Linked DNA regions of Saccharomyces cerevisiae S288C. Each later gene encodes a partner of the first gene's protein in a complex. Each region holds a gene or a part of one and is shown in the gene's direction. Other genes may lie near its edges. The genes, in order: GID7 and VID30.

Region 1 (3,928 bases):
AAAGGGAAAAAGAGGCGCCGCCCGACAGGGTAACATATTATCACGTGCAGCCCAGGATAATTTTCAGGACACGTGTTTCGAAAGGTTTGTCGCTCCGAAAAAATCAAAAAAAACAAAAAACGGGAAATAACAATAACGACAAAAATGGAAAAAAAAAAAATTTTAGACGCGGCGCTTGCACCCCGCATTATAAGTGGTGTGCCGACGGACGGTCAACCCCTTTCAGGGGGCCCCCTATCTTGGGCGTGGTGTCACACCACGCTCAAACGGTGGGCACTAATGAAAACGCGCCCATATAAATATCCGCTATCAACAGAACCCCCAACCCCCCCATCAGTGCCCAACTCAGCTTCCGTAAACCACAACACCACCACTAATACAACTCTATCATACACAAGATGTCATTCGACGACTTACACAAAGCCACTGAGAGAGCGGTCATCCAGGCCGTGGACCAGATCTGCGACGATTTCGAGGTTACCCCCGAGAAGCTGGACGAATTAACTGCTTACTTCATCGAACAAATGGAAAAAGGTCTAGCTCCACCAAAGGAAGGCCACACATTGGCCTCGGACAAAGGTCTTCCTATGATTCCGGCGTTCGTCACCGGGTCACCCAACGGGACGGAGCGCGGTGTTTTACTAGCCGCCGACCTGGGTGGTACCAATTTCCGTATATGTTCTGTTAACTTGCATGGAGATCATACTTTCTCCATGGAGCAAATGAAGTCCAAGATTCCCGATGATTTGCTAGACGATGAGAACGTCACATCTGACGACCTGTTTGGGTTTCTAGCACGTCGTACACTGGCCTTTATGAAGAAGTATCACCCGGACGAGTTGGCCAAGGGTAAAGACGCCAAGCCCATGAAACTGGGGTTCACTTTCTCATACCCTGTAGACCAGACCTCTCTAAACTCCGGGACATTGATCCGTTGGACCAAGGGTTTCCGCATCGCGGACACCGTCGGAAAGGATGTCGTGCAATTGTACCAGGAGCAATTAAGCGCTCAGGGTATGCCTATGATCAAGGTTGTTGCATTAACCAACGACACCGTCGGAACGTACCTATCGCATTGCTACACGTCCGATAACACGGACTCAATGACGTCCGGAGAAATCTCGGAGCCGGTCATCGGATGTATTTTCGGTACCGGTACCAATGGGTGCTATATGGAGGAGATCAACAAGATCACGAAGTTGCCACAGGAGTTGCGTGACAAGTTGATAAAGGAGGGTAAGACACACATGATCATCAATGTCGAATGGGGGTCCTTCGATAATGAGCTCAAGCACTTGCCTACTACTAAGTATGACGTCGTAATTGACCAGAAACTGTCAACGAACCCGGGATTTCACTTGTTTGAAAAACGTGTCTCAGGGATGTTCTTGGGTGAGGTGTTGCGTAACATTTTAGTGGACTTGCACTCGCAAGGCTTGCTTTTGCAACAGTACAGGTCCAAGGAACAACTTCCTCGCCACTTGACTACACCTTTCCAGTTGTCATCCGAAGTGCTGTCGCATATTGAAATTGACGACTCGACAGGTCTACGTGAAACAGAGTTGTCATTATTACAGAGTCTCAGACTGCCCACCACTCCAACAGAGCGTGTTCAAATTCAAAAATTGGTGCGCGCGATTTCTAGGAGATCTGCGTATTTAGCCGCCGTGCCGCTTGCCGCGATATTGATCAAGACAAATGCTTTGAACAAGAGATATCATGGTGAAGTCGAGATCGGTTGTGATGGTTCCGTTGTGGAATACTACCCCGGTTTCAGATCTATGCTGAGACACGCCTTAGCCTTGTCACCCTTGGGTGCCGAGGGTGAGAGGAAGGTGCACTTGAAGATTGCCAAGGATGGTTCCGGAGTGGGTGCCGCCTTGTGTGCGCTTGTAGCATGATCTTTTTACATTTTTTTGGTTTGTGTACGTATCCCACCGTACTTACCATCTTCTCTCCTTTATATATATATATATATATGTATATTTTCAGTGTATATACATACATTCTTATACAATACCGTATAAGAACGTATGTATGTATGTATGATTTTCTCACATTAATGAACAATATCATCGGAAACGGGCCTTTGGTTTTTAAGGGAAAATGAAGAACAATAAATGCCTTGCTAGGTCTTCCTTTATCATTTTTGGAAGTCAAATATGAAAAACACTTCCAAGGGGGCGTACTACTTCAACTAATAAAATGTCACACACTAATAAGATCGCATACGTGTTGAACAATGACACGGAGGAAACAGCCTCGCCCTCTTCCGTTGGTTGTTTTGACAAGAAACAGCTCACTAAATTACTGATACATACTCTAAAGGAGCTGGGCTACGACTCCGCCGCTAACCAGTTACTGCTAGAGAGCGGCGGATATCAAAATGAGTCTAACCACATCCAGACTTTCTTCAAACTCATCAAGACCGGCCAATTCCATCTTATTAATTGGCAGATTGTTTGCTCGCTGCCCCTTGCCCATAGCTCTCCGCTAAGGTCCGAATGGCTTCAAAGGCTGCTCATTCCCACGCCGACGCCCGCCACGACTTCACTTTTCGACCACATGCTCCTGCAACTGCAATACCTGCAACAGCTGATGAGCTCTGTAAATTCATCTACTTGTTCGGACGCAGAGATCGCCACGCTCAGAAATTACGTAGAGATCATGATTCTAGTTAATAGACAAATATTCCTCGAATTCTTCCATCCAGTCACAAATTCCGCCTCTCACAAGGGCCCTCACACTGCACTGCCCGTCCTGTATTTGCGCAAAATCCTCAAAAACTTCATCGAGATATGGGATTCCCTGCTGGTGTCTAACGATCAGTTCCTAAATGAAGAAAACATCTTCAATCCGGAAACGACCTTGAGAGAACTGTCGACGTACCTGACCAACCCAAAACTAACCGCGCAGTTGAACCTCGAGCGAGACCATCTGATTGACGCCATCTCCAAATATATCGATCCGAACGAACTCGTTCCCAAGGGTCGTCTCTTGCATCTCTTGAAACAGGCCATCAAGTATCAACAATCACAAGACATTTTTAATATCATCGATCCGGATGATGACGCCTCTTTCTCCTCTCCACCCCACCGGATCAACCTTTTGCAGGATAACTTCTCACACGATCTGACTGTGACCTTTCAAGAATGGAAGACTATCCAAGACACCACAGACGAAATTTGGTTTTTGACATTTTCGCCCAATGGCAAGTATTTGGCTTCTGCGACTTCCGAGTCTTCAAGAGGCTACTTCATTACTGTTTATGATGTGGAACAAGACTTCAAAATTTATAAGACTTGCGTGAGCTTGTCACAATCCGTATTGTACCTCATGTTTTCTCCTGATAGCCGGTATCTGGTTGCTTGCCCTTTCAGCGAAGATGTTACCATTTACGACATGAATGCCACCTCCCTGCCCGATGCGTCTGCCACAGACTCGTTCCTACTATACCCTTCTACCAGGCTCTCGCCCATGGACTCGTTTAAACTGGACACCACCACGTACCCAGATGATACCGAATCATCAGCATCATCTTCCTCGAGGCCGGCAAACGCGAATTCTAATCAATCAAGAGTATGGTGCTGCGATGCCTTCCACACTGCGGAACGTGCGGGCTGGATGGTGGTTGGATCGCCCGACAGAGAAGCTATTGTACACTCACTCACCACGAAAGAGTCACTTTTTAGCTTAAAAGGCAGGACTTGTATCGCGTTGGGCCACGATGAAAACATCTCTGGGAGAAAATCAATCGATCCTGCAAAAGTCCTTTACAAACCAACAAGTAGCAATGGTAACTGGCAATATGTGGAGGACGACGAAACCTTTCCACGTGTGCACGACGTGAAAATCAGCTATGACGATAAATACGTGCTTTTAATGACCCACCAGGGCGTTATAGATGTCTACGATTTCAGTGGGTTCC
Region 2 (3,928 bases), on another chromosome or scaffold:
TTGAAGAACAGCCTTAAAGTAAGCGTAATGGGCATTCTGTTTCAACCACCATTTCTGAAGTACTTTATATCTTGGATGCACAAAAGCTGTTACATCTAAACAAGAACGCAGCGTAACGAAATGGGAAAGCTGATAAAGTTAATCACAACTCTGACGGTGTTGGTATCGTTGCTTCAGTACTGTTGCGAATTCAATAGTGGGAGCATATCGTGTGAACGCACGCAAACGCTTTGCCATTATACCAATCCAAGAGTCTGGAACACCTACTTTTCAAGAAATTGTGAATTATACAAAAATAAAGTTAGTCCCGGTTTCGATATAGTGGCGCGTAAATATGACACGGCTGTCAAACCTGTCATCGATGACGCTACAGTAAAAGTGAACAAGGTCGCTATACAGCCTGCATTCAAGGTCATCCATTCACAATGTAAGAAATGGAACTGTGGAAAGTATTACCAATTGGTCCGCTCCCCAATGGTCAAGACTAGACGATTTTTCTTCGCAAAATACAATGCTTTTGTGAAACCTAACTTAGACAAATTCTTTACTGCGGAGTTTCGCTCTCATTTGAAGGAAAGAATTTTAAAGTATAAAAATATAGGCCATTATTACTTTACTATCACTTCAAGATGCATCAAATCCAAATACGACTTTATTGTTGGTAATACAGAGGAAAAATTAATGGGAAAGTTCAAGAATAAGGACACGCATGGCATTCATGGTTCTGTCACACGTGAGCCTTCCTCGGAGGACATGGTTTTAACCGTAAGTACTATGGAGTCTGACGAAGAGGAGCTAACTACAACAAGTACTCAAACAGTGGTTGAAACAATTACTTTGGACCAGGAAGAGGCTAGCGCTGTTGCTAATCATGCGCACGACGATGAGGCTTCCACAGACGTTGAAGGCTCCACAGACGTCAATGTCAATGAACAGGCTCTGTTGCAAGAGGATTTTGACATGTGGAGTGAGACTATATTGCAGAAAACACAAGACGTCATACAGCTATTTGAAAAGGATGTTTCCAAATACATCAATGGTAAATTGGTTGAGGAGGCCAACCATTTTAAAGCCAAGTTTCAATCTTTAGATGATAAATCTAAGAAGTTCTTCTCCAAGATTTCGCTAGCCATTAACGATATTGAATGTGTGGAAGGCATTGATAGTGAAACTGGCAAGAAAATTTTCTTCGATAAATCTGGAAGTACTGAGATTTCTCAGTACATAACGAGAGAGTTAGTTCGTGAGTACTTCAACGAGACGCGCTCGACGTTAGACGAACTGACAAATGCTATGGAGAAAGATTTGAGCGAAATCACTGATGAAATTGAAAAAAAAGTTAATGCAATTAGAGAGGAAAACGTCGAGGTATTTGAAGAATGGGGTGATATCATTGTAAATGAATGGTCCAAAAGAATGGCTTATGTGGATGTTATCAACGCTCACATGGGTGCAGATGATGACACTACGCTTGATGAAGAGAAAGCAAAGTCTTCTGTTAACTGGAAGAAGTTTTTGAAGGGCAAGAAACAGATCATAGAATCTAGAGACAAGCTGGCTCACCATTCCGCTGACTTATCCCGTGTTAACGCGTTTAGGCAAAAAGTGCAAAAGAAGATATTATCGTTCACTCAAGAGAGTGGTGAGTTTTTGTATATTCTAAGATCGAAAGCCAACCTGCAATTTCAGGAACGTGAAAGAAAGGAACGTGAAAGAAAAGAGCGTGAAAAAGCTGCAGCAGAAGAGTTCCAAAGGCAGCAGGAGCTATTACGACAACAGGAAGAAGAAGACGAAGAAGACGTATCCTACACCTCTACTTCGACCATCACCACAACCATTACCATGACATTGTGATGAAATTCATGCGCTTGCTATACACACACACACACACACACACACACACACACACAATATCTATCTATATATATATGTATGTTCTTTATTGTTTGTCTTTACCTTTATATATAAACATATATAGCCATATAAGAATATAATATTACCACTCCACTGTATTTTGTATCCTGCCTATTTTTGCTAGATTACAGGACGCGCGAGCCTTTCAGGGGAGGGAACTGATGAATCGATCAACCAAAAGAAAGAGCCAAAGGATTGGACCAGAACTGTTACTGTTATAGCAGAAATATTAGTAGTACGTTAAAGCCAAGCGTCGAATTTCAGCATAATTAAGAGGAAATGTCTGAATATATGGATGACGTAGACCGCGAATTCATTAACTGTTTGTTCCCGAGCTACTTGCTGCAACAGCCTGTGGCTTATGATTTATGGATTTTATATTTGCAACATAGAAAACTCTTTCACAAACTGAAGAACACTAACTTAATCAACGCTGATGAAAATCCCACTGGCGTTGGAATGGGCAGGACAAAGTTAACTGCTTTAACAAGGAAAGAAATCTGGTCTAAATTGATGAATTTGGGTGTTCTAGGCACAATTTCGTTTGAAGCTGTCAACGACGATTACCTGATTCAAGTCTATAAATATTTCTATCCAGACGTTAATGATTTTACTTTGAGATTTGGTGTTAAAGATTCAAATAAAAATTCAGTGCGAGTTATGAAAGCTTCCTCAGACATGAGGAAAAATGCTCAGGAACTATTAGAACCCGTTTTATCCGAACGTGAAATGGCGCTTAACTCTAATACCAGCCTGGAAAATGACAGAAATGACGATGATGATGACGATGATGATGATGACGATGATGACGATGACGATGACGACGACGACGATGAATCCGATCTGGAAAGCTTAGAAGGGGAAGTGGATACTGACACGGACGATAACAACGAAGGAGATGGCTCTGACAATCACGAGGAAGGTGGAGAAGAAGGAAGTAGAGGAGCTGATGCTGATGTGTCCAGTGCACAGCAGCGTGCCGAAAGGGTTGCGGACCCATGGATATATCAAAGATCTAGATCAGCTATTAATATAGAAACAGAATCAAGGAATTTGTGGGATACATCTGACAAGAACAGTGGTCTACAATACTACCCCCCTGATCAGTCTCCAAGTTCTTCCTTTTCTTCTCCTAGAGTATCGTCTGGTAACGACAAAAATGACAATGAGGCAACAAATGTTTTGTCCAACAGTGGTAGCAAAAAGAAAAACTCAATGATCCCTGATATTTACAAAATACTTGGGTACTTTTTACCTTCTAGATGGCAAGCTCAACCAAATAACAGCTTGCAGCTATCTCAAGATGGTATTACTCATTTACAACCTAATCCTGATTATCACTCATACATGACTTATGAAAGATCAAGCGCTTCTTCTGCCTCTACCAGAAATAGACTGAGAACCTCTTTTGAGAACTCTGGGAAAGTGGACTTTGCAGTCACTTGGGCAAATAAGTCATTGCCAGACAATAAGTTAACTATATTCTATTACGAGATTAAAGTTCTCAGTGTAACGAGTACAGAGAGTGCTGAAAATAGTAACATTGTTATCGGATACAAGTTAGTAGAGAATGAATTAATGGAAGCGACTACAAAAAAGAGTGTTTCTCGTTCAAGCGTGGCCGGTTCTAGTAGTAGCTTAGGTGGTAGTAATAACATGAGTTCCAATAGAGTACCTTCTACTTCTTTCACTATGGAAGGTACTCAAAGGCGTGATTATATTTATGAAGGGGGCGTTTCAGCCATGTCTCTTAACGTGGATGGTTCCATAAATAAGTGTCAGAAATACGGATTTGATCTTAATGTATTTGGCTATTGCGGATTTGACGGTTTGATAACTAATTCTACAGAACAATCTAAGGAATATGCTAAGCCTTTTGGTAGGGATGACGTTATTGGTTGTGGCATAAATTTTATCGATGGCTCAATTTTTTTCACGAAGAATGGTATCCATTTAGGTAACGCATTCACCGACTTGAATGATCTAGAATTCGTCCCATATGTGGCCTTACGAC

Evidence for each region.
Region 2: the proteins of GID7 (region 1) and VID30 are in contact, whole or in part, in a cryo-EM structure (PDB 7NSB), measured with the Saccharomyces cerevisiae proteins. Residues at the interface, in NP_009891.1 of Saccharomyces cerevisiae: Ala182 (codon at 2,749), Val185 (codon at 2,758), Leu186 (codon at 2,761), Leu188 (codon at 2,767), Arg189 (codon at 2,770), Lys193 (codon at 2,782), Asp200 (codon at 2,803), Val204 (codon at 2,815), Asp207 (codon at 2,824), Phe209 (codon at 2,830), Leu210 (codon at 2,833), Asn211 (codon at 2,836), Glu212 (codon at 2,839), Ile215 (codon at 2,848), Phe216 (codon at 2,851), Arg223 (codon at 2,872), Ser226 (codon at 2,881), Thr227 (codon at 2,884), Leu229 (codon at 2,890), Thr230 (codon at 2,893), Asn231 (codon at 2,896), Pro232 (codon at 2,899), Lys233 (codon at 2,902), Ile648, Leu649, Ile650, Gln651, Lys652, Phe654, Arg690; in NP_011287.1 of Saccharomyces cerevisiae: Lys39 (codon at 2,308), Leu40 (codon at 2,311), Lys43 (codon at 2,320), Leu44 (codon at 2,323), Asn46 (codon at 2,329), Lys65 (codon at 2,386), Leu66 (codon at 2,389), Ala68 (codon at 2,395), Lys72 (codon at 2,407), Trp75 (codon at 2,416), Ser76 (codon at 2,419), Met79 (codon at 2,428), Leu84 (codon at 2,443), Thr86 (codon at 2,449), Ile87 (codon at 2,452), Ser88 (codon at 2,455), Phe89 (codon at 2,458), Phe111 (codon at 2,524), Arg114 (codon at 2,533), Phe115 (codon at 2,536), Ile830, Glu831, Ile834, Gln838, Ser841, Tyr846, Ser863, Asn864, Ser866, Ala867.

What each region holds. Positions count from the first base shown.
Region 1 is NC_001135.5:50,440-54,367, forward strand, and holds the start of GID7 (glucose-induced degradation complex subunit GID7), read left to right. Parts: upstream 1-2,205; coding exon 2,206-3,928. Other genes in the region: YCL042W (uncharacterized protein), read left to right, coding at 145-504; GLK1 (glucokinase), read left to right, coding at 399-1,901.
Region 2 is NC_001139.9:67,478-71,405, forward strand, and holds the start of VID30 (glucose-induced degradation complex subunit VID30), read left to right. Parts: upstream 1-2,193; coding exon 2,194-3,928. Other genes in the region: SHE10 (She10p), read left to right, coding at 121-1,854.